Linked DNA regions of Mus musculus. The protein of the gene in region 5 purifies or fractionates together with the protein of the main gene of each other region. This does not show direct contact. Links are inferred from orthologs where the notes say so. Each region holds a gene or a part of one and is shown on either strand. Other genes may lie near its edges.

The links.
Region 1: the proteins of L3mbtl2 (region 5) and Yaf2 purify together in Homo sapiens (affinity purification with mass spectrometry; 5 studies listed by BioGRID and IntAct, counting the BioPlex papers as one, with this or other methods). This does not show direct contact. The link is inferred for Mus musculus from reciprocal best matches to the Homo sapiens genes L3MBTL2 and YAF2.
Region 2: the proteins of L3mbtl2 (region 5) and Max purify together in Homo sapiens (affinity purification with mass spectrometry; 6 studies listed by BioGRID and IntAct, with this or other methods). This does not show direct contact. The link is inferred for Mus musculus from reciprocal best matches to the Homo sapiens genes L3MBTL2 and MAX.
Region 3: the proteins of L3mbtl2 (region 5) and Mga purify together in Homo sapiens (affinity purification with mass spectrometry; 3 studies listed by BioGRID and IntAct, counting the BioPlex papers as one, with this or other methods). This does not show direct contact. The link is inferred for Mus musculus from reciprocal best matches to the Homo sapiens genes L3MBTL2 and MGA.
Region 4: the proteins of L3mbtl2 (region 5) and Lin54 purify together in Homo sapiens (affinity purification with mass spectrometry; 3 studies listed by BioGRID and IntAct, counting the BioPlex papers as one, with this or other methods). This does not show direct contact. The link is inferred for Mus musculus from reciprocal best matches to the Homo sapiens genes L3MBTL2 and LIN54.
Region 6: the proteins of L3mbtl2 (region 5) and Tfdp1 purify together in Homo sapiens (affinity purification with mass spectrometry; 4 studies listed by BioGRID and IntAct, counting the BioPlex papers as one, with this or other methods). This does not show direct contact. The link is inferred for Mus musculus from reciprocal best matches to the Homo sapiens genes L3MBTL2 and TFDP1.

Annotation. Positions count from the first base shown.
Region 1 is NC_000081.6:93,333,745-93,338,804, forward strand, and holds the start of Yaf2 (YY1-associated factor 2), read right to left. Parts: upstream 3,192-5,060; 5' UTR 3,039-3,191; coding exon 3,013-3,038; intron 2,722-3,012; coding exon 2,596-2,721; intron 1-2,595. UniProt on the Homo sapiens protein: Binds to MYC and inhibits MYC-mediated transactivation. Also binds to MYCN and enhances MYCN-dependent transcriptional activation. Increases calpain 2-mediated proteolysis of YY1 in vitro.
Region 2 is NC_000078.6:76,959,137-76,964,454, forward strand, and holds the start of Max (protein max), read right to left. Parts: upstream 3,113-5,318; 5' UTR 2,890-3,112; coding exon 2,854-2,889; intron 2,844-2,853; exon of another isoform or gene 2,649-2,843; intron 2,154-2,648; coding exon of another isoform or gene 2,127-2,153; intron 1-2,126. UniProt on the Homo sapiens protein: Transcription regulator. Forms a sequence-specific DNA-binding protein complex with MYC or MAD which recognizes the core sequence 5'-CAC[GA]TG-3'. The MYC:MAX complex is a transcriptional activator, whereas the MAD:MAX complex is a repressor.
Region 3 is NC_000068.7:119,962,182-119,966,654, reverse strand, and holds part of Mga (MAX gene-associated protein), read right to left. Parts: intron 2,964-4,473; coding exon 1,690-2,963; 3' UTR 1-1,689. UniProt on the Homo sapiens protein: Functions as a dual-specificity transcription factor, regulating the expression of both MAX-network and T-box family target genes. Functions as a repressor or an activator.
Region 4 is NC_000071.6:100,497,198-100,502,429, forward strand, and holds the start of Lin54 (protein lin-54 homolog), read right to left. Parts: upstream 3,443-5,232; 5' UTR 3,304-3,442; intron 2,965-3,303; exon of another isoform or gene 2,631-2,964; coding exon of another isoform or gene 2,609-2,630; intron 2,559-2,608; exon of another isoform or gene 1,106-2,558; intron 1-1,105. UniProt on the Homo sapiens protein: Component of the DREAM complex, a multiprotein complex that can both act as a transcription activator or repressor depending on the context. In G0 phase, the complex binds to more than 800 promoters and is required for repression of E2F target genes.
Region 5 is NC_000081.6:81,661,859-81,667,068, forward strand, and holds the start of L3mbtl2 (lethal(3)malignant brain tumor-like protein 2), read left to right. Parts: upstream 1-2,030; 5' UTR 2,031-2,142; coding exon 2,143-2,166; intron 2,167-5,210. UniProt on the Homo sapiens protein: Putative Polycomb group (PcG) protein. PcG proteins maintain the transcriptionally repressive state of genes, probably via a modification of chromatin, rendering it heritably changed in its expressibility.
Region 6 is NC_000074.6:13,365,650-13,370,195, forward strand, and holds part of Tfdp1 (transcription factor Dp-1), read left to right. Parts: intron 1-3,809; coding exon 3,810-3,931; intron 3,932-4,519; exon of another isoform or gene 4,520-4,546. UniProt on the Homo sapiens protein: Can stimulate E2F-dependent transcription.

The DNA.
Region 1 (5,060 bases), about 12 Mb from region 5:
CGTATGTATTTACATGTGTGCACACACATGTATGTAAGTATACAGCGCGTGTGTGTACATACACGTATGTAAGTATACAGCGCGTGTGTGTACATACACGTATGTAAGTATACAGTACATGTGTGCACATACACGTATGTAAGTACACAGTACATGTGTGCACATACACGTATGTAAGTACACAGTACATGTGTGCACATACACATAAAGAAGAAAAGGCTTCAGACATCTAGAATAGCTTAGGCTTGCCTTCGTGATTGGCAGCTAGAACAGATTCAGTTCAGAGGTTGTTCTGACCCAAGGGATCCAAATGCTGGCTGTGGTCACACAAACAAGTCATTAGCAAGCTGTGTCCCTGTGTGCTGCAGCTGCCCCCTCCCTGCTCTCCTTCCATCCTATCTGCCAACAGGCACATCAACTGGGGGAACAATGTCCCCCGACCACTCAACTCTTGCCTTCCATCTGTGTCCCAGTCCTTCACCTGGTTTCCTGTCACTCCTAAGAGGAAACACTGTGCATGTAACCAGCATCTACTTATTAACAAGGCCATGTTCTACTGATCCATCCAAACACTGTGCATGTAACCAGCATCTACTTATTAACAAGACCATGTTCTACTGATCCATCCAAACACAGATCTCGGGGCGGGGGGGGGGGGGGGGAGGGGGGGAGCAAAGGGAAATGTAACAGACAACAGAGAAGTTACAACTCCTGCCATTCACTTAGGGGTAAAGTCAAAGGAGACAATTCAGAGAGAGAGAGAGGAAGAAGCTCAGAGGGACACCGTTCTGAGCACCTACTTTTAGGAACACGGTGTCCCTTAGACTTCTGGTGAGGGGCCCAGAGCCTCTTCAGTTTCAATCCAAATGACAATGCTTCTCTGAGTCCTCCTCAAGTAATGTTTCCACCACTAAAAATTGGATCTACTGGTTAAAAACAAAAACAAAAACAAAAACAAAAAGCCAGGGGCCTGCAGGTGGGTCTCAGGCCTCTCTAAAGCAGGCCCACTTCTGTTGTGGGCCAGCTCCCCTGTGTGCTACAATCCTCCTTCTTCCAGGAGTCAGGGACTCAGCCTGGTGCTTCTCTTCTGAGTGTCACCACCTACTCTACTTCTCGGGGCTCCTCTAACCCCAAGACTGGCTGTGGAGTAGGACACACCAGCTTGCCCCCATCCTTGCTGTCCCTGCAAATAAACAAATAGGCTCTTCTAATCCAGTGTTCGTCTAAAAGTATGAGAGGATACAAGTAAAAACAAAAGCAAAAAAAAAAAAAAAAAAAAAAAAAACCCAAGTCAAATGATCTCCATATTGCTCATTTACAAATACACATATATTATACACTAAGCCGTTTCCATCCTTATATAGACATATACACCGTGCTTTCCAAAACACTTAAAACGTGAGTCCAGAAATAGCAAGTAGTTTCTCTTTTTAGAATCTTTCCTTGAACTTAAAAGGGATTTAAAACCTTGCTTTTTAATAGACACCAAGAAATACTAAAAATATTGTATTCAATGTAAATGAGAATTCGTAGTAAAAACCTATTGAGATTTATGACAGGTATGTCAAAAACAACCAGTATTGTAGAAACAATAAAATCCTGACATGTCTCTACACTTACAATGTTAGTAAAATTCTATAAACTGAGTTTTTAAAAAAAAAACAGGATACATCATTTTTAGAAATAACTTTGACTATTTAGAATGTCAAAATTATACAGGCCCTCTGTTTCAAACAGAAAATTCCCCGTATTCTGTAATCATTTGTATTTGAATAGGCTTCATAGCAGCAAAATAAATGCCTTACTTAAATATTGCTACAAATCACTGTAGAAGTGGATTTAAAGGCGGCCTTCCCAAGGGAACTATGACCAAGTGGAGACAGATCAAGAATGCTACTGAGTTCGAATTTCCTAAATTTAACTCTTTTAAATGGTTTTTTTTTTTTTTTTTGGAAAGACAATTATAATACTATATGCCTACCATACAACAAATCCAGGGCCGGCAACAGACAAAGATCATGTCATCTCGTTTGTGTAAAAATATCCAGGCACTGGAGTAAAACTGCGTTGCTGGGTTCACCTCCCAACCAACTACTTAACTGTAAAAAATTATTACAGAAATAGAACAACAACAAAAAAAAACCCAGACGCGAAACCTTGGCCTGACCCTTTCCGGACATCCGTTACTAAGAAAGTTTAATCCATTACGATCCTACAAGCGATACTTTTTCCCCAGGGGGACCGAGTGACATCGCGGCCTTTCCTCCGTCCCCTCCCCCGCCCCGGCTCCCCGTCCCCGCCCCCTCCCCGCACACTAACACCACAATGCGACCAGCGATCACGGTCTCTGCGCCCGGCTGGGGAGGGGGCACCGCACCGGCCACGCATGGAACGGCACGGCACGGCAGCGGCCGGCGACCCCCATGGATAATTCATCCTCCGCAGCAGGCGCCACCGCCGCCGCCACCGAGCCCTCGCCGCCAGCCGCGGCTCAGCCGGGTCGCGCCCCACCGCGGCCGCCGCCTGGCTGGCCGCCCCGCCGTCCCGCGTCGCGCGGGGGGCCCCGCGGGGGATCCACGGGCGCGCCGGACTCACCGGGTGGAGGTGCCCTTCCGCACATCGCACATCATGCACTTGAAGGCCTCGGCGCTGTTCCGGAAGGTGCAGACACTGCAGTCCCAGTAGCCCTCATCCGAGGCGGGCTTCGGCTGCCGCTTCGGCCTGCAGGACACAACCGGACACGACGCAGCGCGGGGTCAGCCGCAGGCCGCGCCCGGCCCCGCGCCCCGCCCCGCCCGGCCCGCGACCCCCGCCCCGCCCGGCGCCGCGCGGGGGAGGGGAGCGCGGCCGCTGACCCCGGCCGCCATCGCGGCCCATTGTGGGCAGCCGCGCGCCCCGCCGCGCCGCGCCGCACCCCCTCTCCCCACACACACGCGCGCGCCCCGCGCCGCGCCGCTCCACGCCACGCCACGGGACCCCGGGCCGCGGGCGCTCCGCCGGCGGGCGCCCTACCTGGTGGGGCTCTTCTTGTCGCCCATGCTCGCTGCCGACGCGCGCCGGTCTGTCAGCGCCGGGGTGAGGGGCCGGCGGAAGCGCGGAGGCGAGGGGGCGGGGAAGGCCGCGCCGCGAGCTGCAGCCGCCGCCGCCGCCGTCGCCGCCGCCGCTGCCGCCGCCGCCGCCGGATCCCACGCAGCCTCCAGCTGTCGGGGAAACTCCTGCCTGCGCGCACGTGACCCGCGCCGGCCAACCAGCGGCCGCGCCGGAGACTTCAAACGCGGGGAGCGCGGCCCAGCACCGGCGGCGAGTTCGCGGCGCCGCCTCCCTCCAGCTCGCCCGCCCGCTGGCTGCCCCGGAGCGCTCCGGCCGTGGCTCGCACGCCCCGAAGGGCGCGATGGCAGGCGCCCGCAGACACGCGTGCGCCCGGCGCGGCGGGGACTGTCATCCTTCCTTCTGGGGAAGCGACCCAGAGGCTCGGGAGAGGTTCGGTGCCCTGCTCTAGCTTACATAATTCAAACGTGACGAAACCAGGGTCTGATCCGGTTTTAATTGCAGCGGCGTCCTCCTGGCCTCACGGGGCTCTGCAGTGGCTTGTTATAAAACGGACGCTCGTGAGCCTACGTAAGGCAGACGAGGTTGCTTGTGCCCTGGACACCACCTCCCCGAGTCTCCTTACTCCAGCCTGTCGGGGATACACACCTCGCCTGCTAGACCCAAACAGCCATCTCGCTGGTCCTTGAAGCTCTGCTTCCCACCTCGCCGATCTGGCGGGTACCCCACAACCAGAGTTAGCTTGACATCCCTCTGATCGAGGGGCGACTTTAGCATGCCAAGTCGGTGAACCGTCATCAGGAAAGCTGCCCCTGAAGAAAGGAGAGATGAAATCCATCCCTTCTCGGAGCCCTGCCTTCTTCTGCCTTATTTGGGTGTGCTGATGGAGGCGTTGTAGCCTCCGCATCAGGCTTAACTAACTGAAGGGGACCCAGTTCAGGCACTGCGTACTTAACAGTTGATCTGACTGTGTGGCTCCTGGGATACTATAAGGTTGTTTAGAAAATGTATCCAGCTGGGCCAGAGCAGGATGGAGCAAATTTTCATCATGATACTCAGAGTGAGATGGCAACTAAAAACTTGAGGAGTTAACTGTTTAGGAAGTCCTTAATATTTTGAACTATATCGTCTGTGGGTAATTGAAACAGGAAAGCAAAACTCCAGCAAAAGGGAGACTACTGTATTGATGTGTTACTTACCAAACAAGAGTTAATAACCAAACTGGAGGATGCTCTCCTTTTTATCATTGGGAATATGATATTAATTGGGGTAATTAAGAGGGAAATAGGCTTCAAGCTTCTGAGAAAAGAAAGTCAAAATGAATTATAGCAGAACGGGTGGGAGTATACAGCTCAGAGATGGAGCACTTGCACAAGGCACTGAGTTACTAGAAATTTGGAAAAGCATTTAAAAGATTGTTTTATGTGGGGTTTGCTTGGGTGCTTAGTATTACTTTATTTTTGCAGAATAGAGAGTCTGACTTAGTTGAGTGTAAAAGTTATATATTAGAGGTTGCGTTAATTTTCCAAGATAAAAGAGGCTGAGTGGTTTATGCAATGGAAATGTTTTTTCCCATAATACTGGAGGCTCCGAGTAGAAGATAAAGATGTCAGGGCTGCTTTCATCCAAGGCTCCACTTTGCTTGCAGATAGCCATCTACCTAGGTCCCACCTTCAAAGGGACATCTTTGTATGTGAGTGCCTGTATCCTAATCTCTTTTTATCACTTCTGCCTATGCCATGCTCTCTTATAAGGACGTCACTCATTGGATTAGCACCTACATTAATGATCTCTCTCTCTCTCTCTCTCCTTATATAGGCATCGGTGTTTCTCCTCCATGTATGACTGCGTGCGTGTGATGGTGTTGAGTCCCCTGGAACTAGAGTTACAGTTTTTTGTTGTTGTTGTTGTTGTTTGGTTTTTCGAGACAGGGTTTCTCTGTATAACCCTGGCTGTCCTGGAACTCACTTTGTAGACCAGGCTGGCCTCGAACTCAGAAATCTGCCTGCCTC
Region 2 (5,318 bases), on a different chromosome or scaffold from region 5:
AGCTGAAAAACAAAACAAAAAAGGAATTTGACTTTCCGTGGAAGTAAGTATGTGTAATGCTTCATTAGGAAATAAAACATTATCTTCCACGAGGCTCTCAGAACAATCCTTAAGACCTCTGAGATTACTGCACTCAATCAACCAGCACTCAATAAATAAGGTTTTCTTAGTGTTCAGGCAAGCTGTACAATCTCTAACGAAGCACACATACAACTGAAGAACCTGCTTTTAGCCTGTGAATAGTAAGGTCCTACATCAGAGCTATCATTTGGCATCCTACAAACTTGTTCCCTAGAAAAAGAGACAAAGGTAGAGAGTTCTTGTTCGTGTGAGGCAGAATCTCATGCTGTAGCCCAGGCTGGAACTCATTCTATATCCCAGGCTGGCTTAAAATTCAGGGAAGACTCCTGCCAAAGCCTCAGAAGCCCTGGGCTTACATACTGGGCCACAAGCCTGGACTCTGTGTTGTGTATGTTAAGGCAGGGTCTCAGTAAATTGCTCGAACGTTTGATCCTCCTACCTCAGCCTCCCCAGTAACTGGGTTTACCGACCAGAACCACCAAGCCTAGTTGCATCCTGCAAACTCTACAAGTTCCTAAACAGCTGTGTCATATATCGTTTAAAAATCAGGTAACTAGAAGGTAGAGAGATAGCTCAGTGGGTAAAGGCACTGAGGTCAAACCTGATGACCCTAAATTCAATCCCCAGACCCATGTGTTTGAGAGAGAGAACTGAATCCAAGTGGTTCTTATGACCTTCACATGTGAGCCATCACATACACGTGACCACACAACACTCACACACACATACATACATACATACACACATACATACATACACACACACACACACACACACACACACACACACACACGTTAAGTAAATGTAATTAAAAAAATCAATTAAATAGGCTGAGGTTGAAGCTCCATGGCAGAGGGGTTGCACAGCATGCGAGGGCCCTGGGTTCGAATCCTAGCACAGTCAAAAGTTAAATGCACATAAACACACCCAAAAAAGTAATAATCTGTGTTTCAAGTATTTTAACATTTCTCATAAACTTTGAGGTTCCAGGGATAGGGCTCAGCCCTGAAGGAAACAAAAAGATCTGGCAGCACCGGGCAGCACCGATCACTCTCAGGTAGCAAGCAGCAGGGGCAGGTGGCTACGGACTTTTTAGAAGGGGTGTACATCCTCACCTCTTCCTTCCACCCTTGACTAGCTGTTACCTGGTCCTCACGGGTAATGAGGACCTCACTCCATTCTCTTTCCCTACCATTTCCAACCATCAAATATTCCATCTCTCTCTCTCTCCTCTGGTTGTATTCTGAGTCTATTCCTTCTCTCCTCTCTCTCTCTAATCTATGCCTATTTACTCCTAAGTCTCAGACTCCAGACAAGAAAGCATGGGGTCAACCCAAAGCCAGAAACACCTACAAAAAAACCCCATTAATATAAAAAAATCTAATAAGTTACTGATAACATTATATGGATGCATCCATCACCTTTCAGCAAAGCTGTCTCTAACAGTGCCACTCTTCAACATTTTTTTTCTTCTCAAATGGAAAGTCAAGACCACAAAAAGCTGTGCCACTTTCAATATTTAACTTCTAGCGCCTCTCTTTTTTCCATTGTCGTTTTTTGGGGAATATCATGCTTTTCTAGATCCTAGGAGTCTGCAGTAGTCACATGACCTTGGCTAAAGGCGATTATTACATGTGCCTGCAACTTCACACAACTATGGAGATACTGCTTAAAGTTTACCTGCTCCTAAATAAAACCTAGCCAGTTTGCTCTGAAATAACACTACCATTCACTTCAGAATGCCCTTCCATTTCTCACATATCTCCGCCGCACTGAACACTACAGAACAACTCAGTTCACAGCACAGGCCTCCTCACTTGCCTGCCTACCTACCTACCTACTCACTAGAATCTACCACCTGAATATCAAGAATCATGTGGATTTGCAACGCCCCCCTCCTCCAACCCCAACAGACTCAACCTCACCTTAGCGGTTAAGAGGAGTTTACAAGAGTATTAAAAGTAATAGAACGATCTCTTTTTCTGACTCCAAAAAGAACCAAAACTGAACGGAAATGAAAATGAAATGGAGAGTAGGAGACGTACCGCAGATTGAAACCTCGGTTGCTCTTCCTGGAATAAGAGAGAGAGAAAAATAGAAAATACAGAAGTTATTTTCACACTTCGAATTCAATAATAAGAAAGAAAATGCCGGCGGCGGAGGAAGCAGCGGGTGGGGAGTCAGTCTGACACCCCTCCCTCCCTCTTTCCCCTTCCACTCTCTCCAGCGAGATCCCGTAGCCTAGTTGGGGGGGGGGGGGGGGGGGGTTTCAGGCACTGCCCCTCCTTCTGGGATCCGAACCGGACAAGAGGGATCCGGAACACTGCCTGCTCTCCCTCGATCCCTCTAGGGCGTCAGAGCACTCCCAGCCCCTTCACCCCAAGGATCAACCGGTCACAGGAGGAGGGAGCTCATGGACCCAAAGAGCAAGAGCTGAGCGCTGGTCTCCTTGCCCAGGATCCGGAAGGATAATGGGATCCCCAGCCGGGCAGAGCGGAGAGGGAGGCCTCGACACCCTCCTCCACGGGAGAATGTGGGGGTCCCAGAGGCCGCGTGTCTGCTCCCACCTTCAGTCCCAGGAGGCCTCTCCGGACAGGACTGGAGGGGAGCGAGCCTGGAGCGCGACGCAGGCGGTCCCGGCCCCGGGGGGAGGGGGAGAAAAGGACGGAGGCGGCGGCGACCCGACCCCCTCCCGCCGTCGCCCGGCTGAGAACCCTTGCCGCTGTCCCCGCCTGACAACCCGAACGGAAAGGAAGAAGCCCCAGGACTCACGTCGCTCTCCACCTCGATGTCATCGTTATCGCTCATTTCCTACGGCCCAGGGAGCGGCCACTGCAGCGGCGGCCGGGGAGGGGAGGGGTGGAGGGAAGGGGGAAGTCACCGACAACAACAAGCCGAGTGCCCCCACGCACACACTCACTCACTCGCTCACTCACTCACACACACTCACGCACACACAACACGGGCGACAACCACCTCACTGCAGCACCGGATCAACGGCGGCACGCACGCCCGATCGGCCCCCTAACACGTGACCGGGCTCACCGCGCCGGGGTAGCTGAGACTTGTAGTCCTCGAGCGTCGGATGGGCGAGTGAGAGAGAGCCAGAGAAACTACAAATCCCATCAGGAACCGCACACAGGCTTCGCCAGACTCGCTTGTTGACAGAGCTCAGGGCGCCTGCGCCCCGGGTGTTGGCAGCGAGAAGTGGCGCGGTGCCTCCCGGGAGATGTAGTCCACAGACCGCGAGTTGTCAGGAGATTTTCCTCCCCAGGCGGCGGAGAGGCTGCTGGGAAGACAGGACACGTGGAGGGAGCTGGGCTCCTGGAGCCGGCCACAATTCCGAGCTCTGGGCGCCCGGCCCAAGGGATTGGGTGGAGGCTCGGGGGTTTGGGGGCGGGGGGAGAGAAACTGGCTGCCAAAATAACACTGTCTCTTCTTGGCTAGACTGCTTTTACATTGTCTCGTTTAATGCTTGAGTCGCTCCACTTGCGCCCTGGGGCGTAACCCTCCCGGGAAGGAATCACGCTGTGGCTGACCAGGGGGCGCGGTCGAGATGCCCACGCGGGCCCTCTGTTATCTGGGTTTAAGGTGTTAAGAGACATTACGGGACAAACTAAAGGACCGATTTCGCCGGGTGTCCTTCATCTCAAGAATCTTGCTTTCATTTGTCCGAGAGAACTGTCCTTGCTGGGCTTGAGTGTTTACAAAACCTCTCGTAGGTGCAAGTAAAACCTACCTTCTGTTTGTTGTAGCCGGAGCAGATTAGGGAGTGCCCCAGTTTATAGAGAACTTTAATTAACTGCAAAAAGAATCAAAACGGGAAAGTTGTGCAGCTCCCTGTCCAGTTAAGGTCATACATAATGCAACGAGGTATGAAGTGTAACTACATTGTCCCCACCCGCATTTAGCTAAGTATCTAATATGTGGCAGCCCAGGAATGGCATGATGTGTCCCCTCAAAGACTTCACAGCTTTGAAAGCAAAAACCGGACTACCCTGTCACCATTTTCAGTGTGCACCAGGTCCTCAATGAAACAACAAACAAACAAACAAACAAACAAACAGTAATAATAAGGTCATCTGAGAAATTAACCAGACTACCACTTTACAATTGATCTTCAAAATGAGTGCGGTCTTGAGTTTGATTTATGAGTTAATGTTTTTTGAGTAAAAAATCATTTAACCCCTGACTATTGAGTGCAGAAACTTGGTGGTGTAATACAATCTTTCTGACACCTAGCCCAGGCTGGCCTTAAATGTCCGTGTGGCCAAGCCTAGTGATGAGAACACAGTCATAAGCAGACACTGACTCGTAATAGAAGTCAAGGGCTGTAAGGGAGACAAAGATGGTAAGAGGGTTTTTTGTTTGTTTGTTTGGTTGGTTGGTTGGTTTTTCGAGACAGGGTTTCTCTGTGTAGCCCTGGCTGTCCTGGAACTCACTCTGTAGACCAGGCTGGCCTCATCTCTGCCTCCCAAGTGCTGGGATTAAAGGCATTTGCCACCACTGCCTGGATAAGATAGTAAGAGTTAACTGGATACCAGAAGTAGAGACAATGGATGATCACCGCAAACCCTCCTTATATATCTACCTGCAATGTGCAATGTGCAGAGTGCATCCTTAGCTGCAAGTTAGTTTTTTGGGGGATTAAAAAAATATATCTCATGCCTGTTCCATGCCCCTCCTCAATGAAGTCAAAGCCTTTGGGAGGTGGGTAGGATCAGTAAAAGACAGTTTTTAATGATCTTCAGGTGGTTCGTATGTGCAACCTAGAGGATGCCAGGATAAAGGCAAGCTTTCACTGAATTATATACTTTGAAAGAGTGGGCTTTATGATTGATATGTTAATAATTATGCATCAACAAAGCTGTTATAAAAATAATCTTCGCTCACATGGCTAAAATCTAAGAAGTAAATTATAAAAACACTGTAGGGAAAGCGGATATGCCAAGCAGATTGTACAGCAGCAAGCGATATGAATTTCGAGGAGATGCCAGATTTCAGGGAGGGTGGGGGGTAATGGCCGGGTGTTCTCTGAGGCTGCCAGGACAAGGACTGGGCCTACAAAGCCTAAACTAGATTCTGCTCACCATAGATCTCCACATGTTGAAAGGACATCTGGAAAAATGGAATAAAGGCTTTCCAGGGCCGGGTGGTGGTGGCACACGTCTTTAATCCCAGCACTCGGGAGGCAGAGACAGGCAGATTTCTGAGTTCGAGGCCAGCCTGGCCTACGG
Region 3 (4,473 bases), on a different chromosome or scaffold from region 5:
TCAGAGTTAATCTAAAAAGGAAATCAAACATAGAAGTAATTCACTGGCTAGATTCATTCCAAAGTTGGTCTCACAACCTAGGTCAGAGGATACAGAGTGGGACTTAGGATAAAGACGCAGTAGTGTAAAAGAAATACAATCACCCAGGCACAGCCCAGGCACCGGAAGCACTTGTGTTAAAGTGTTTTTACAACACAAGCAAATCCTGTCATTGAAGACAGAACGGGTTACATTCCAAAATATAATTATTTAAGAAAGGCAAATGCAGCAGCTACATCTCAGTCTATACATTTTCAGAACAGTGATTCTTGCCTCACGAGTTCCCGAGAGACCCCTCAAATGCACCATGATTATTTACAAACTAGATAGGAAACATTTCTATACTCAATACAAATCTCTTCTAGGTCGAAAACTTCATCCTTTGAGAAATCTATGAAAACAACTATACAAAAATATAAATATCTTCATCTTTACAGGTTGTCAGTCCTTCATACCCTGACAGCCAATGAGTGAAAAAGCTCTACAGATCATTGATGCCATGATAGCAGATAAAAAATATACTTTGTGACTCAAATACTGCCTTACTTCCCTGGTAAAGATTGCTCACTCTGACTCGCCTTTTCTTTACATCCTGTGCAGGTGACAGTGAACAAAACCTTCAAGCACCTAGAGGCTGGTTTCATTTGGGAAATACCCAGCCCCACAAATTTTTATTTTGGCTACGGTCTCTGGTTAGGGGAGAAACTGCTTTTCATTTTAGCTGTTTCTTGAGTGACATGATTTGGGAAAGGGAAGGGCTGCCTCTATGTCTACTTCCAAAAAACAATGAGTAGAAATCTCTGGTATTATGAATGAATCTTTGTGATACCCCAAGAAATAAGGGAGAAGTATGTCTTTTTTAGTCTCTGAAAATAAGTATGTTAATAGTAAAAGTAAAAAGTATATTCCTACTTTACCAGAAAGCTTAGGTTTTTAATTATGACTGAAAGGGTAAGGGAAGAACTATTCTGGATATGAAACAGTCTGCTGAATGACAAAATCCCTTCACTTTGGTATTCCATAATATTCATCCTACCTACTATAACATTCTCTCTTCCTACTCCCCTGGCCCCCACAAGTGTGTATGTGTGTGTGTGTGTCTGTCCCCTTGATAGGCCAGGGTAGACACAAACTTGCAATCCTTCTGCTTTAGTCTTCTAAGTGCTGGAATTACAAGTGTGCACTACCATGCCCAGTCCTACCATGCCCTACTATTGAAATAGTAACTAAAAGTTCTTTTTTTTTTTTTTTCCCACACAACTGTATCATAATTCTCAGATTTTGGAGCCAACAACTATGACTTATACTTTAGTCTATAGTAATTCCAAGTCTCAAGCATTTTCTCAGGGGAAAATAATAAGGTAGTTGATGGAGCCAGAATCTTGTTATGAATTCCTTGGGCAAGAGGGAATCACACCTTCTTAGAGAAGATGAGGGGACCCAGCACCACAAGTGAGGTAACACATTTTTAACATGATCAGAATTTCAAACACCAGGACCAGCACCCTACACCTCCTTTCTCCATCAATATTCACACATAATTAAGTCAAGGATAATAGTTCCATAATACAAACAAACAGACGCCTACAGAGAAAGGAGGTGAAATTCATTTCCCCTCACAGCCTGGCTTTTGTATGAGGATGAACAAGCTCATTTCCCTGATGAACTTGATGGAGCTCCAGAGTTGCCCAATTTAGGTACAACAGGTGCCAATGTAGGCATCACCTTGCTCCCCCGGCCTTCCTGGTCAATTCCTGCTAAATTCATTTTGTGTCCAATTGACCCAACTTTGGCAGCTATAGGTGCCAAGGCAGGCATCACCTTGAGACTCTGACCATCGGCATCACTGGGGGGATTAGCTACTTTTAAACCTAATGGGGCCAACTTTGGCATAGGCCTCCACAAAGTATCTGTGTTGCTGTTCTCCGGGCCAGTCTTCATGTGTAAGATGGGAGGTGAAGATACACTTTCAGGCTCTGCGGGGAGACCAGAAGTACTCTGCCCTCCATCACTAGATTTCCTATGGGAAACAAGAGAATCCTTTATTTCAGGGTCAATAACAATCTTAAGGACATCTGGCTCAGAGGCTGTGTCCCCAAGCTGTTTTTCATTCTCAGAAAAGTCATCATCTTCCAAGTGCAAGAGGAGGGGGCTGATGGATTCACTCTCCTCTTGGACATCAGGCAACTCTTTCACACCTGCTCCCAAGTGTCCAACTTGGAAAGCTGATCTGTTCCCAGGAGCAAGTTTACTGATAAAAGCTCGCTGAGCATCTCCTGAGAATTCTGTATCCATAGAACCTGACAGTTCAGCTAGGCCAGAGTCATCATTTAGCTGTTGATTAAGAAAAGCAATTTCATTGAGCAGTGAAGTCAGAGTCTCATCAGTGTCATCCTCATCTTCCATGTTAGTCAGCAGCTCACTGGGATGGAGGGCTGCTTCCTCGATAGCCGAGGCTACTTTCCTCAGTTCCATCTCTATGCTTGAGTCCTTCAGATCTTTCATCTTTAATTTATGAAACTGAGACTCCTTTGACTTTAGTCTCTCTCCTCTCAACTCACACTCCTTCCATTTATACCGATGCCCTCTCACATCACCAGACATATTTTTAGGTATAAATTCCTGTGCTGCCTGCATAGTGGAAACATCAGCTACATGTGGAAACCCAGAATCTTTATTTGCCAAAAGCACCTGTGTTGGACCCAGTGCCTTTCTGCTATCTCGATGGTTTCCTCTGGAAGAGATTCTCTCTGTATCTTTTAAGGAGCTGGCTTCACTCCCAGCAATGTCTCTCAGGTGGTCAAGTGGCTTGCCATCAGGAACTTCGTGACGGTATTTGTTGCCACTCATACCTCCCAAATCTTCCTCTGCAGCCAATGATGTCACATTGACAATTCGTGGCATCATAAATAAGTCATCATTCTCTGAAAATCAAAAATTAAAGAGAGAGTTCATTAGATGCAGTAATGAAAATCTCTTTTTCTCTCTCTCCTTCCCAGTCTATCTTAGTCCACTTTTGTCAGAATAACAGCTGAGGGGTTGGGGCTATAGCTCAGTGGTAGAGCTCTTGCCTGCAAGCGCAAGGCCCTGGGTTTGGTCCTCAGCTCTGGAAAAAAAAAAAAAAGAAAGAAAGAAAGAAAGAAAGAAAGGAAGGAAGGAAGGAAGGAAGGAAGGAAGGAAGGAAGGAAGGAAGGAAGGAAGGAAGGAAGGGAGGGAGGGAAAAAGAAAAAAAGGACAAAATAACAGAATAACAGCTGAAATAGCAATAAGTCAAGTAAAATCTAGTCAAGACACTTAGGTATTTCATTATTAGCAATAGTTCCACTTAATTACATTTTTAGAAAATCTCTACAAAATAACTCTTTTCTTTTTTTGGACTGGGAGAGCAGTGGAGGAGACTGAACCCAGGAACTTGCCTATACAAAGTATAAGCAAGTACATTACCAGCCCTAGGATTGGACAGAATCAGGATCTTCCTATGGAGGCCATGGTTAGCCTCCAACTCACAAAATTCTTGTCTTGTGTTTCATAAGAGCTGTGATTATGGGCACAGGCCACCATCCAAAAACCAGCTTGCTAAGCTAATTCTTGTCCTGAGGCAGAAACACATCTTGATTTTGTTCACCCAATTAACTGCTAGTTAGAAGGGAAAATGGAACTCTAAGATCAATACAGTAAGACCAAACAAAAACTGTAGGGAGCCATTCCGGACTTCCTGGTCAGCAGGATGGAGGTCTGCTCCAGGTAGTAAACAAGCCCATGTTTGGTGGATGGCCCGCCCTTAATCCCTGATTGGCTGAGCAAACCTGCCTGGTGAGGTGATGTGACCTGTGGAGATTGGTAGGGCTGGAATGGAGAAAAACACTTGTAACCAGAGAGGCTGGGGGATTTGAAGAAAGTAGCTGCCTGAGTAAACTGCTTTAAGAAGAACCCATGGTTGCGTTTTTTTTGCTTGGTGATCGAGTGGGACGCGACAAAAAAACAACAAACAAACAAAAAAGGTTGCAATGTCAACAACAAAAAAACAACAACAACAAAAAAAACAACCACGAGACTACGCCTCCTACCTTAACACAGATTTAGATGCCTAGATCCCAAACCACCAAAAGAATACTTTAGCAAAAAGAAATGGTTCTCAAAACAATTCACTGGATTGGTAACATGGGAGTGCCTCCATTCCAAATACAACCCAAAACAACGATCAACACCAAGAACTTAAATATTGACCCTTCTACATCATCATTTCACTTGAACACCATTTTAATTCTTCCCCTGCTTAGAAATGTCACTAGAGTTATTAACAAAACAGTTTCCAACTCCAGGTTAACCACCAATCAAATCAAGCTAGGAGGACTATTTCTTTCTTTTTTTTTTTTCTTTTCTTTTCTTTTTTCCAAGGCAGGGTTTGTCTGTGTAGCCCTGGCTGTCCTTGAA
Region 4 (5,232 bases), on a different chromosome or scaffold from region 5:
CGAGTAAGAAAACTTATTGCTAGTTGCAAATATTACTAGTAGGCATTTCTTAACTATTAACCTCTGTTTACTCTTATAATTCAAGGTCACTGACCCAACCTTCTACCACTAAAGGTGAAGAAAAAAGAAGAGCCCCAAACCAGTTTATAAAATTGTATAGACCATGTAACCCTTTCCTGTTGGATGCAGGGAGACTACCTAGGACCCTATAACAATCTAAACCAGTATGGATCATCAGATGACTAAAGTAAGCTGGGGCCATTATAAGGTCACTCAAGTCTTACAATGAAGGTAAGTAACAGTGCTCTAGGTACCTGAACAAGGAAGCAACATTTGTCACATAACAGATTCTAATTGTCTTTATCAGCTATATACACTCAAAGCTTTCATCCAATCATCACATCTCTGACAGTGAAGGCAAATTCATAAGCAGAACCGTGCTCCCAAACAGAATTTCACTCGTAGTATACAGCCTATTATAAAATCTCCCATAACTTCATTCTCTGAATTCATGAAATTAGGTGGGGACATAGAAGAAATTCCATTTAAAAATGAACAGAAAATATGATTTACAGTATCAACTGTTATTTGCCAAGTGGCAGGATCAAAGGTGCCACCCCAAAGATGACAAAGCCATATAAAAAATTTTTGATAACCACAAAACTGGTCCATATGTTCAAAAATAGATGAGGACCCACACCCCAACAAGTTCCAGACTATGTCCTGTCACCGACATTAAATGTAGAAGAAAATACCAATGTTGTGCCTCCCCAAAGAAACACAACTCCCTAACTGCTGGACACCATCAGCCAAGCCCCACTGAGTGGGTATTTTAAGTATTCTATCAGGAAATCATGGTAAGTACTAGCGGTTCCTCTAGGCCTCTGTAGCAGCCTTAGGTATAAGCAAACTCAGTCCTCTCGATAGTCAAAATAATAATAATAACAACAATAATAATAACAAAACGTTGATGTCATTACAAGGCTACAGATTCTTTGCACTCCTCCGGACAAGTCATTCTAGATTCCCAACGCATTTCCTCCCCCAACTCCCAAAAATGAGCTCTGCAAACAGAGAACCCTCGGGTACCCCCCTTCTCCTCTACCTCCAGAGGCTGCCGCTTTCTCCACCCTCCGGCTCCGAGCGGGCTCCAGAGGTCCCGGGCAATTTCGAGCCCGGGCAGTGCTTGTTTTGCCTGTGCACCGTAGCTCTGTCCAGCTGCTTCCTTTCCCAGTTTGCACGAAATGGAGCGCTATAGGGTACCCGGGGACCCAGGAGGGAGCCGGGGTGGCGATGTCGCCGCGGCCGCCGCCTCTGGTATGTCAGAGGCCGGGATTGTATTTCGAAAGATCCGCCATTTTCACCTCGTCATCACCATCACAGCTCAGCAGCTTCCCCCGACAGCCGAGCCCCAGCCGCCGCCGCCACCGCCGCCAGTCACCTCCCCCTTCCTCCTGCTCCCGCCCCGGCCCGCCCTCCGGAGCAGCGCACACCCACATATCCGGGGAAACCTCCCGTCCGCCCCGCCAACCTTCAAACGCACTCAGGGGGGAGGGAGAGGTTCTAGGGCTCACCGGCGGGTCATGCCAGACCCAACATCCCAATACCAAACACTCGGCACCCGGGAGACCCGCAGGAACGCCACGGGGAATCGTGATACCTGCGGGATTCCAAGGCCTGGATGTTGGTTAGGAAGGCAAGCCGTGTGGAATCTGACACAAGAACAGTAAAACCTCAAACTTTCATTTCCAGAAACACACTTGAGAGAGATGGTAGACCATGTTTCACGTATATTTCAGAGTCACTGGAGAGCTTTAACGTCACTCACCAACGCTGGCATTCTACTCCACTCATAGGACTATGTTGACAGTATGGCTATTTCTATATGCATGCCTGACTTCTCGGACATCCTTAAATTACAGGCGCTGATCATGCAGACATTGGTCTCCTCTCCCCTTCATTTTTAAGAATAAAGTTCTGAACTGTTTTCCTCTCAACTTTGACCATTTTTGCCCATGAACAACATTATGTCAATTTGTCGTTGGTTTAAGATACTCAGGTACTACTAAATTTAAATTACTGATTCAACTCTATTATCATTCATAACCATCAACTTCTAACATATAGAAAATCCAGCTCTTCGCTAGAACCCTTTGCCAACTGACTTTAGGATCTAAGTTTCCAAATTAAAAACCATCTGCTGCTGATAACACTTGTTCAATGCAGAGGGGGGAAAAAAACAGCTTGCTTTAGAACAAGATTCCGGAACAACCTATCCATCTCCCACCCCCTTCCAGTTCCTCTCATGGTGTAGTCTAATAAGCACCCAAGAGGGAATAGAAGTAATTAATCATGTAAGGAATTAAGAACATATAAGCTGCAAGGCTTAATAGGACCAGCATCCTCCAAAAGTTAGCTGTTTGACTTCAGAAAGCCTTACTAATTGCCAGTTCAAAAGCTTTATTCTTTATCATTCAGTCATACTATAAGCTCTTAAAGACCTAACAGAAACCAGCAAGCTGAATCTCAGGGTTGTGGACAAGGCTAATCTACTGTCTTAAGTTTCCCTAAGAATAAGGAAGAAGCAGAAGCCATTTCATTTCCCTACCTTGTTTGAATGACACCTCCATATAAAAGTCAGCAGGCTCAGGCTTAGTCAAGGGCTGTCTCCCACCCACTCCCGGCGCGTTTCTACCGAGAGCCCGCTAGAGGCTGAGCGTGGAAGGGGTTCCCAGTTTCTCCATCTTTCAACTTTATTCCCCACCAACAGCCGGGTCCACCGGCACTCGGATGGTTGTTTACCGTTGCTTGACCAGGCTGAGTCCCAGCCCGCTCCCTTCCCCCGTGCACCGCGGGGACACTATGACATTTGGCTGGTGGGCTTCGCGAGGGAAACGGACACACACCCAGAAGAGTCCATACAAAGGGGCGTAGGAAGAACGCGGCGCCGGGCAGCAGCGAAAGGAGGCGCTGGTACGAAATGACACAGCAGCAAAACAGGTTCCCAGAAGCCCGGGGCCGGCAGCCGCTTCCCGGGCCGCGCCGAGAGCCTGTCAACAGCCGCCCAGCCCTTCCTCCCGAGCGCGGGGCGGGCGGCGCCGGCCCGCCGACTGACAGCCGCGCTCTCCGGCGCCCGCCGCTCGCGCCGCGCCCCGACAACCCTCGGTCCGCCGCGGCCCACCGGCCCACCGCCCGGCTGCCCGGAGCCGCCGCCGCGCTCTCCGCCCGCGCGCCGCTCGCCCCGAGCGCGGGCCCGGCGCCGGTCCCCGCCGCTCAGCCCGGGTCTCCGGAGCTGACACTCACCCGAGCCGGCGGCGCCGCCTCCTTCTCGCGCCGCGCTCCCCGGGCTCCCAGCAGCCGCGGCGGCGGCGCCTCCGAAACACAGACCCGGGTTTGTTCAAAATCACGCCCAGCGCCATTCCACCGCCGCATCCCATAATACGCCGGGCCGCCCCGCCCCGCCCGCGCGCCGCCCCGCCCCCGCCGGCGGCCCGAGCCCCGCCCCTTCCGCGCCCCTGCTCCGCCCCCTGGCAACCCGAGTCGCGTCTTTGCGCAGGGCTGGGGGAGCGCTCTGGGGTTCCACGTGACTGCTCCTGGGGCCTCCGTCAAAGGGAAGGCGGGGAACTCCAAGTGGGTTCGTGCTTCTGGCTTTGTGACTAAACCTCGGTCAGTGCGGTTTCCAGCGCGCCCCCGCTTGGTGATGCGCCTGAGTGAAGAGAGAGTCCGCATCCTTTCTCAAATGTTAATAAATCTGTTGGGGTTTAGACGTGAACGTTGCAAGGGGCTCCTAAAAGCTCCTGAGAGAGCACGCAGAGTTACCTTGAAAGGGAGTTTTTGATAATTTGTCTTGCAACACACCTTATACTGATACATATGGATTCTTTGCATTCAGTCATCTCATTTCCTGGGATATTTATAAATCCAAGAAATAAAAAATATATATTAAATTTTAAAAAGGCCTTACAACGTGAAACTACCTGGGGAACCACACGAAGGAGGCGGGAGATAAGTTAAAGGTATCGCTTTCCAACCAAGTATTCCTGGGGGTACTGTGGGGGCATCACTAGAAGAAAAAAGGCAGAGAGACTGAGGCCCCAAATTTAGATAACCCCCACCTCCACACCTCACCTTGGTAGAAAAATTCTGAGTTCCTTCCACCAAGCTGACACAGTTCTGATACCACTACTACAAAACAGGACCTAAGGAATAAGGGCAACATTTCCGGGTTTACTGTGGATTTTTTACAACGACTAAAATGACTAGTACAATCTTATCAGTGTCAGCAATCTGGTCAAAACAACTCACACCATGACATAGCGTTTAATGTATGTGGAGAATGACAGTTTTACATTAGTGAATATAAGAACTGTGGTATCCAGTGATGCATTATATAACACTCAACAACTGTGCTGAATATTATAATTCTTAGAAGGAACTGGACAGATGTCTCCGTGCTTAGGACCATGGTTAGGACCCGGTACCGTTCCTATAAAGGACCTAAGTTCAGCTCCCAGCACCCACACCAGGTGACTTACAAGGCCTGTAACTCCAGTTTCAGGGAATCCAACATCCTCTTCACGACTCTGAGGGCACAAACAAATACACAGATATGCATGAAAATAAAATCTTAAAAATAAATACAATTCATATAAAATCAAGAATAAAATAAAGCTTTTAGCTGGGCAGGGTGGCCCACCTCCATATTCTAGCTTTTTAAAGGCTGAAGCAAGAAGAAGATTGGGAGTTTGAGCCCAGCACTCAGCCTGCATCTTTCAGTAAGACACATACACACACACACACTGTTTCCTTCTTTTCCTTGAATCAAGATTCCAGGACGACCAGGGCTACACAAAGAAACTTGTCTCAGAAAAAATAATAAAATAAAATAAAAAAACAAACAAACAAAAAAGCAGCAACAGAAGCCAGGCAGTGGTGGTGCACGCCTTTAATCCCAGCACTTGGGAGGCAGAGGCAGGCAGATTTCTGAGTTCGAGGTTAACCTGGTCTACAAAGTGAGTTCCAAGACAGCCAGGGCTATACAGGGAAACCCTGTCAAAAACAAAAAACAAAAAAACCAACTCATGTCAATAGCTGTGCACACAAAGGATTGATCCCTTGTCCAATCAAACTGCTCGTCTTATATAAATAAATAATTCTGGAGCTGTCATTACTGCCTTGGGAACTCAAAAAGTTGCCCCCAAAGCTATCTGCTGTTTAATTGTAGTTCAATAT
Region 5 (5,210 bases):
GTGGTTAAGAGCACTGACTGCTCTTCCGAAGGTCCTGAGTTCACCAGATGAGGTCAGTCAACACCCAGCACAGGGTGGGAAGGGGGTTGTGAGTTCCTCCCCCTAGATGAGGCACTAGGGCAGTAGACAGACTTTGGGGGGAGAGTCAGTTTTCTTTAAGGTGTGGCTCCTGGTAGGTCAACCACACTCCAGTCAACGGCTCCACAGGGAGGAAGATGAGGGTGGCACAGACTGTATTCAAAAGCTTTAAAGGGGGAAAAAAAAACAGTAACAAACTCAGGAATGAAGATGCCTGACTTTAATTCCAGCACTCACTTGGAAGGCAGAGGCAGGAGGATCTCTTTGAGTCCAAGGCCAATCCAGCTACAGAGAACCTGTCTCAAAAAAAAAAAAAAAATCAAAACAATAGAAACAATAAAAACAAGCTGGAGAGAGGGCTCAGTTTTTAAGCTCATTGGCTGCTCTTTCAGAGAACCAGGTTCGGTCCCAGCACTTTCATGGCAGCTCATAACCACCGTGTTACTCCAGTTCCATGATATCCCACACCCTTTTCTGGCTTTTGTTGGCACTGGCCACACATATGGTGCACAGTCATACGTGCAAGCAAAACTCCTATAACACATTAAAAAAGTAAATAAATAAAAATTTAAAAATAAAAAGCAACGCAGAGAGGCAGGGAGCTGGGAGTGGGTCTGGGAGCCCTCACGTAGGATAAGTAAACTAATCCAGACCTGTCTGAACTTTAGATGCTTGTAAGGCCATACAATTCCTGAGAACCCAGGATGGGAAGGAGTAGTTCTATAGGGGACTCAATCCACATGTATACTCCAGTTGGCAAAAGCGTTGACTTCAGGTGTCTTCTTCAATCTCTTGCTATCCACTGTATCGCTGCTGGCTGGTCAGCAGGCCATGGGAATCCTTCTGTGTCTGCTTACCTAGTGCTGGGATCACAGGCATGCTCTGTCATGCACTGGGGGGCAAAACTCAGCTTTCCATGCTCTGGCTGTACTCACTTACAGGCTGAGTCATCTCTCCTAGATTTAAGGTTATAACATCTATCCGTATAATTTATTTGTGGATATGGGGGTTTTGCTGAATGCATATGTATGGACCATGTTAGTGCTTGGCGTCATCAGAGGCCAGAAGAGAAAGTAGGATCCACTATAACTGGGTTTATAGAATTTTGTGAGTTGTTCTGGGTTCTGGGAATCAAACCTGGTACCTCTGGAAAAGTGGCCAGTAACCACTGAACCATTTCTCCAGTCCAAGGCTTTTTTTTCCCCATTTATTTATTTAGCTTGTGTGTTTGTTTTATGTGCGTGACACAAAGGTCAGGACAACTTTGTGAGTAGCTTTTTGACTTCCAGGTTTATGTTGTGGCTCAGAGATTTGAACTCAGGTAGAAAGGCTCATGGAACAAGATCCTTCACCTACTAAACCATCTCATAAGCCCCAGCGAGCAGACGGACATAGAGTTTAAGAATATTCCTGTTCCTGTCTGAATTGAAAGAGGGATTAGGCATTTCTGCTAGGCATTCCTGTCCAAGAGCACCTTTACTTCCTACCTGGGGAGAGTGTGAATTTTTGTCTGGGGCCCCTGGGGAGAGTGCGAATTTTTGTGTGTGTGGGGGGGGGGCTGGCACGTCCAATCCCTTGTGCTCAGATGGTTTGAAATTTGACTAAGAAAGGACAAAAACAAAAAACAAAAAAACCCGCCGGGCGTGGTGGCGCATGCCTTTAATCCCAGCACTTGGGAGGCAGAGGCAGGCGGATTTCTGAGTTCGAGGCCAGCCTGGTCTACAGAGTGAGTTCTAGGACAGCCAGGACTATACAGAGAAACCCTGTCTCTGAAAAAACAACAACAAAACCCTAGAAGTACCCTTCAGGAGATTTCGCATTACTAAGGCAACGACCCTTTTCGTGCACCCAGGAGAAAACTACAACTCCCCTAATCCTCACGGCTACCCAGCCCCTCCTTAATGGAGGCGGGGCGCGGGCGAGCGCGGAACCGGCTTCCTATTTCCTGCGGCATGATTGGCCCGCAGCTCGGGCGCAGCAGCCAATGAGCACACTCTCGGAGAGCGGCGAGGGCAATATGGCTTCCTGCACCTGGTGACGGTTGAGGGAATTGAATTTGGTATCATGGAGAAACCGCGGGGCACTGAGGTAAGAGGGAAAGGGCTCAGCCCAAGCGGGAAGGGGAGCCCCAAACGCCTCGCTCGGCGGACGCGCCGTTTTAGCGATGTCTTAGTGGTGGACAGTTGCAGGATTGGTAAACTGAGGTACGGAGCTTAGCCTCGGCCAGAGGCCCCCGAGGTTCCTTTTGGTCTGGTGACGAAGGAAGGATGGCAACGCCTCCCTAGCCAGGGGCAGGGAAACTGGGCTCTGAACTTTGTCTTGGTTTCATGGTTCTGAGCTTTAGGATCGTGCGGCCTGTCCCTTCCACGCGGGAAGTGAAGGGAGGAAGATCGGAGTTGATTCCTACTCCACGCTGGGAGCGTTCACGTGCTGGTCTCCCCGTACGCTCACAGCCATCTTCTTTAGGGAGGGATTAAAACAGCCCTCTGGGTCGACACAGCTGCAAAGTGCAAGAGGTTGTCACCAAGTACGTCAGTTTCCAAAACTGCGTTACGCTTTTTCCGTGGTACCGCAGCCGGTGACCCACCGCACCTTGCATTTGAAGTCTCTTGCCGTTTCCTAGCGGTAATAATTGCTAAGCTTTATTGAGCACTGTTGAGTGTTTTACGTTTATCATCCCTTCCCAAAATATTATTAAATAGTGGTGTTGTCTTTATTTGGTGGAAACCGAGGCAGTGCATTTGACTCGCTGTGCATCGTACAGCTAGGAAGCACTAGAGATCGTATTTGAACCTTGGCCCAAAGCGTCATTCTCTTTACCTCTGTCTTGCCCAACAAGCTAGGCACGTTTTTTCCTATTACAAGCTAGGTACGTTTTTATGTAGCATTTCATCGCTACCTCACATTCTGTGAGCCAACAGCTGTCGTGGATGAGAAAATTGTCCCACAGACCTTAAGTGACTTGCCCCAGGATCAGTAGCTGATTTCAATCAGAGCTCAACTCACGGCTGTGGTCCATACCACCATACAATTAGTCATCTGACTCAAAGCCTCCTTGGGATAGCCTGGGTCTCAATTTTCTCAGTCTTTTTTTCTTTTCCCTGTTTTCCTTTAAGGAAGAAAACAGGTTTATTGGATACATTGCAAGGAGCAGTGGTCTAGGCAGCAGCAAGAGGGCCTGGCAGTCTTAAATTTGTTTCTGAGTTGAGATCATTTGGATGTACATATACAGAAGAGGGAAGAAAGAGTTTCAAATGCCTTCTAGCCCAGTAAAAATTTTTTGAGGTGCTTAGGATATTTCCACATTATTGTGTAGATCTCTGATCCCTGGCAGCGTTTTTTGACCTGATAGTGGTGTGGAAACAGTATCTTTTCAATAGATGCTGTTCTTTGAAATTGGAATTTTGCTCTGTACCCAAGCTACCAGTATGAGGGGTCTTGGTGCTGAGCAGAGGCTCAAACCAACCACAGCTTGCACTTAGCCATGTGGTCATTGGAGGAAACAGTCCATTCTCTTTTCTTATTTGTTTGTTTATTTATTTATGTGAGTACACTATAGCTGTACAGATGGTCATTGGAGGAAACAGTCCATTCTTTTTTCTTATTTGTTTGTTTGTTTATTTATTTATTTATGTGAGAACACTATAGCTGTACAGATAGATGGTTGTGAGCCTTCATGTGGTTTTTGGGAATTTTAGGACCTCTGCTTTCTCTGGTCAACCCCACTCTCTGCAGTCACCCTTGCTTGCTCAGTCCCTGCTTGCCTCGGCCCAAAGATTTATTTATTATCATACATAAGTACACTGTAGCTGACTTCAGATGCATCAGAAGAGGGCGTCATATCTCATTATAGGTGGTTGCGAGCAGCGACCATCTGGTTGCTGGGATTTGAACTCAGGACCTCCGGAAGAGCAGTCAGTGCTCTTACCCGCTGAGACATTTCTCCCGTCCTCTTTTCTTTCTTTTCTTGTTTTGTTTTTTGGAGAACTTGTTTTGTAGACCAGGCTGGCCTCAAACTCACATAGATCTGTCTGCCTCTGCTTCCTGAGTGCTGGGAATAAAGGCGTTCACTACCACACCTGCCTTTTTCTTTCTTCTTGTTCTTCTTCTTTTTTTTTTTTTTTTTTTTTTTTAAGAGGATCTACTAGCCAGAGGGTGGTGGTGCAAACTTTTAATCGCAACACTTGGGAGGCAGAGGCAGGCAGATCACTGCATTCTAGGTTAACATGGTCTACAGAGCTAGTTCCAGGACAGCCAGGGCTACTGAGGGAAACCCTGTTTCAAAAAAAAAAGAAAAAGAAAAAAGAAAGAAACAAACAAACAAAAAGAAAAAAGAGAGTGAAGAGAGAGGTGGGGGTGTTGGGGTCTACCGTGCGGTCTGAGCTGACCTGGAACTTGCTGTGTAGACCAGACTTGTTTCAAGCTCAGGGTTCTAGGATTAATGGTGTGTACCACAATACCTAGCCTCTTATACCTAGTCTCCTAGATGTTTTAAATGAATATATACATATATAGATAGATAGATAGAGATATAGATATGTATATAGATATGTGTGTGTGTGTGTGTATATATATATGTTGGTTTTTAGATTTATTTATTTATTATTATATCTAAGTACACTGTAGATGTCTTCAGACGCACCAGAAGAGGATAGAGGGCATCAGATCTCATTATGGATGGTTGTGAGCCCCTATGTGGTTGCTGGGATTTGAACTCAGGACCTTCCAAAGATCAGTCAGTGCTCTTAACCGCCGTATATTGGTTTTTCTTTTTTTTTTTTTTTTTTTTTTTAAGATTTATTTATTTATTATATGTAAGTACACTGTAGTTGTCTTCAGATACACCAGAAGGGGGCATCAGATCTCATTACGGGTGGTTGTGAGCCACCATGTGGTTGCTGGGATTTGAACTTCGGACCTTCGGAAGAGCAGTCGGGTGCCCTTACCCACTGAGCCATCTCACCAGCCCCGTATATTGGTTTTTCATGCCATGATTTCTTTGTGTAGCCTTGGCTGTCCTAGACCAGGCTGGCCTCAAACTCACAGAGATCCACCTGCCTCTGCCTCCTCACTGCTGGGATTAAAGGGGCGTGCCAGCCCCCCACCCCCAGCTCAGTTAAGAGTTCTTGCTG
Region 6 (4,546 bases), on a different chromosome or scaffold from region 5:
TCCCTCCCCCAGCCTTGGCTGGGTAAATGCTCTAGCTTCTCCTGGGAAGCTACCTTGCCCACGTGCTGCCTTCTCCACAGTGTCTGTCACCCGCCAGTCTTGTGTCTTCTGAGGATGGATGGCCTGACAACCCTCAAATAATCATTGGGCCTTAGGACTCTGTAGCTTAACATTTTTTAGAATATATTTTATTTTTGTTCTGTTTTTACATATTAAGTGGACACTCATGTGGAGGTCAGAGGACAACTTGCAGGAGTTTCTTTTCCTCCGTCATGTGTGTTCTGGGGAACAGACTTGGTGGTTAGGCGTCGTGACAATTGCCTTTATCACCAAACCCCTCTGCAGCATTTCACAGGTGTCCCTAGCTATCCCTCCAGTCCCTCTCAGTCTCACAGGCATCGGCAGGTGTTCCTAGATGTCTCTTATCCCTAAACAGAATTCTTGGCTGTGCTTTTTGCCCCTGTTGTTGGGGCATCTCTGCAATGCAGTCAGGCTTTGTATAGGGAAAGCAGTCATACCGAATCGCTAGTGTTCCGGTCGTCCCCTGCACCAGCTTTGGCTGTGGTGTGCACATTCACTGCCTCCTCTTGTCAGTGGATTCTGGGCATTGGGGGTTTTCTTTCTATGTTTGAGTGTTGTGCTGCATTGTCTATGTGGACTGCATGTATGCCAGCATCATCTCTCCTGGAACTGGAGTTGTAGGTGCTTGTGAGTCGCCACGTGGGCACTGAAAAGTAAACCTGGGTCCTCGGCAAGCATAGCAAGTGCTCTTAGCCACGGAGCTGGCTGTCAGGTCCCTCATGGCGGTGGTATTTGTGAGGTGAGGTGTCCTGTGCCACTGGCTGGCTGGAAAACCATTTTGTGTAGAACAGGCTGGTCTTGACTTCCTGGAGATTCGTTTCCTCCTTTCTCCTCCTGAGTGCCAGGATTAAGGGTATGTGGCATACTCCTAGGCTGTATCCTCAGCCGGGCATGTTCCAAGTGACCCCTAAACTGTTTGAGGAGATGGCTGGGTTGGCTCTAACATAGGAGGTGATAGTTAAACCTTATGTGCATGCGAAGTGTGATGGGGGCAGGTGCTGTGTCCCTGGCACTTGCTCACCAGAGGCTATTAAGAGTGTCTAGGTATTGGAAGCTTTGACACAGAGATGGCTCTGTTAACACAGAGGTGCCTGCCTTGCTGGTTTGCACTCTGGGCCCTGCCTGTAGCTTCATGGTAAAGCCTACCTAACCTTCCCTGAACCTTTCTAAATTTGTAGTTTGCTTTTGTGTTTAAATTTTTTATTTTGTATGTAACTAGTAGAATCACGCAGTGTATAATACTGAACAGCTTTTATCTGAAATTAAGGTGCAAAATGAATCCTTAGGGTGTTTTGAGGGGAGAGTGTTTTGGAAGACCTTGTGGTCTGGGTACTGGGTGTGGCTTGTTGGCCGAAGGCTTGTCTAGAGTGTGGGAGACTGTGTGTTCTATAGCAAGGCAAAGACGCATCAACAGGACTCCCATATTGGCTTGAAAGCTAGAAGGGGGCTCTAAGTGATGTCAGTCCTCAGTATGTGCCAGTTAGCAGTCATGTGGCTTGCTGGAACTTTGGGTCTGGAAGACTGGGTTTGAACCAGTCTCAGTCCCAGCAGTAGTGACATAGGAAAGACTGCTTGTGACCAGGCTTCCTCTTGTCCTGAGGAGTAGCAACCAGAGAACCCTAACCGAAGTAGCTCTTTGGTATCTGAAAGGCCAGTGTCCCTGGGGGCTTCTGCATGCTGTATTCACATGTGTGATGGTGGAATGTGAGCACACCAAGGGGAATGTGGCCCTTTTCCCAGTGTCAGGGTGCAGATGGAATGGGACCCACTTCCGGCCAGCATGGCTGTGCTCCCCAGGGCTTTGTCTGCAGCCTTTGGATCTGGCCGTGCCAGCATGGAGCTGCTACTTTACAACCTGGTTTTCCTCTGTCTCCTTGAGGCCTGGGCACCTGGCCTCCTGGATGTGCCTTTTCCTCTTCTCCCCATCTCACTTGCTGATATTTCCTTGGTCTGTTTTTCATTTTCCCATCTGTGTGTGCACACGGAGGGTGGAGCATGCATAGGCAGCCATGGGTACACAGGGCTGAGCATTTGCCAATCATGCTGTGCATGAAGGTGGGGCCTAAATGTATGGCGACGGCGACTGGGACATTTGATGCCAAAGGTAGATAGCTCCTATATGCATAGTTTTCCTTCTATTGTCAGATCCACAGAGAAGATGTGTGTACCTGAGGGTTGGGGAGCTCACTCTGCACTGTCCCTCAGATGTGCACAGGGTCTCTGTGTGTCCTGATGGATGTAGATCTCAGTGAGTAATGAGGCTGCCTGTCAGGGGGCCACCTGACCCTCCTTGGCACAGCATATCAAGAAGTGCTGTATGGAAGAGTTGAATCTGGGAGTAAGTTAGCTTTCTTCAGATTCAGTCATTTGGCAGCGTCCGTGCGGCCAGTGGGTAAGCCAGGCACAGTGCCCTCCTGCACACGCACAGCCGCAGGCTGCTGGCAGGTGCTCCCAGGCCAGTCTTGAGTCTAGCACAGCTGTGCATCTTCTCAGGGGTGGTTGTTTTGGTGCTGCGGAATAGACTGAGGTCTCCCGTGAGCTCCAGAACTTTTGCGCAGCCTTCATGCTGGTGTGGGATGTGTCAACGTGACTGGCAGGCAGTACTGGTGGGGGACGTAAAGCTCTTACTGTCTGGGGATGGGGAGGGATCCCCTGTTCCCGCCTGAGAGAGTAAGCCAAGATGCACTTCCCGTCTTGTGTGGCCTAGTGCTCCCAAAGTGTACCCACACCTTCACTGGATCCAGGTATCTCAATTCAGTTCCTGTGGGGATATCCCCAGAAGAATTTGATCACTGAAGTGCTCTGTACTTTGGGATTTACCAGAGGTCTTTTTGACTTAGAGTTATGTGTGTAGTAAGATTTTTGACATTGAGACATTGGTTGTCAGAATAGGACAGTTGTCTGTCTCCAGAATAACAGGTTTGTGTGTTAACTGAGGGAACTAAAACAGCAGACCTCTTCCCAAAGGACATCAAAAACATTGCTATAAGAGTGGTCGCCACATCAACTCTGGTAAAACTGGTTACCTGATTCCCAAGAGCCACCACCTCTGGTCAGGTGAGCTGCTGGCTGTGTGCTCCCAATGGGGTTGCCTGTCCCTTTCTTGTCCTGATGATGTTTGGATCCTGAGGTCCCTCATAGACAGTAGAAAAAGGTGTCCCCGGCAGGACAGTCAGGCACCACTCCCACTTGGGAGCTGGAAGAGGTACCTGTTGTCTGTCCTAGGGTTACAGTTCTGGAAGTCTGTCTGTCTGTCTTCTTTCTTTCTTTTGTCCGTCCTTCCTTCCTTCCATCCTCTCTCTCTCTCTCTCTCTCTCTCTCTCTCTCTTTCTTCCTTCCCTTCTGGTAACTTTTATACTTTATAGGGGCAGTTTTATCCTTGCCTAGCTCATTAAGAGGAAATAAACCAGCAATGTGTTACTGTCCTGTGATTAATCCTAGCTATCAGTAAGTTGCCTCCTTGTCACTATCGGTGTTCTTGCTGTGGGAGGCCTGCCTTGTCCTTTCCAGCCCCTAACTGTGGCCTGCTCTGTCTTCTTGAGCCTGCCTACCTGTTTGAGACGTTGATGTTCTTTTAGATGTACGGGTGTCTGAGCTGTGTGGGGTAGTGCCACAGCAGAGCAGCGTGCTTCTCTGTTGCTCTCTCACTGTGGCTGACAAGGCAGAAGGAAGCGGTGGTACTGTGATGGAGACACGTCTGATTGTTCTGAATTCTCTTTTGACTGTAGGTGATTGGCACGCCTCAGAGACCGGCAGCATCCAACACTATTGTGGTAGGAAGCCCACACACTCCCAACACGCATTTTGTGTCACAGAACCAGACGTCTGACTCCTCACCTTGGTCTGCTGGGTGAGCACCCCCACCCCAGTTTGGCAGCTGCTGAGAATGTCCCCTTTGTCCTCTGGCCATGTGTCACATGGTCTGTAGTGGGGGTCCCTGAGCAGAGAGAGCGCAGGGCTCCCATCTCACCTCTGACTGGGCCACAGAGAACACCGGTCACTAATACGACACAAACGCTTAGAAAGTGTCAGAAGATCTGATCTCTACCAGGTCCAACACCAGGGCTCTATCCCATGCATGGTCTGTCCCTCCGAGGCAGTACTGCCACTGAGACTGTAGCAGACGTGGAAGTGACTGACTCTCTTTAAAGATCACCAGTGTGTCACATTTTAAAAACTGTTGTGAAACCCTGTCTCCCTTGCTTCAATTTAAAATCATCTGTGCCCCAAACTCTGCAGAGAAACGTAGTGACTGTTCCCAGTGTGACTTAGTGAGGGCGACACAGTTGCTGTGCCTCCCGACCTGAAGCTTGCACCATGGTTCCCATTTGACACATGTCCATCAATCTAAGCATCTGCCTTATGTCATGGTAGCTTGCCAAAATTACCCCTGGAAATTCCTAAGTTTACACTAAAATGTGCCGTGCTCTGATGCCAGCAGACGCCTTTAGAACAGTGGTGCCTA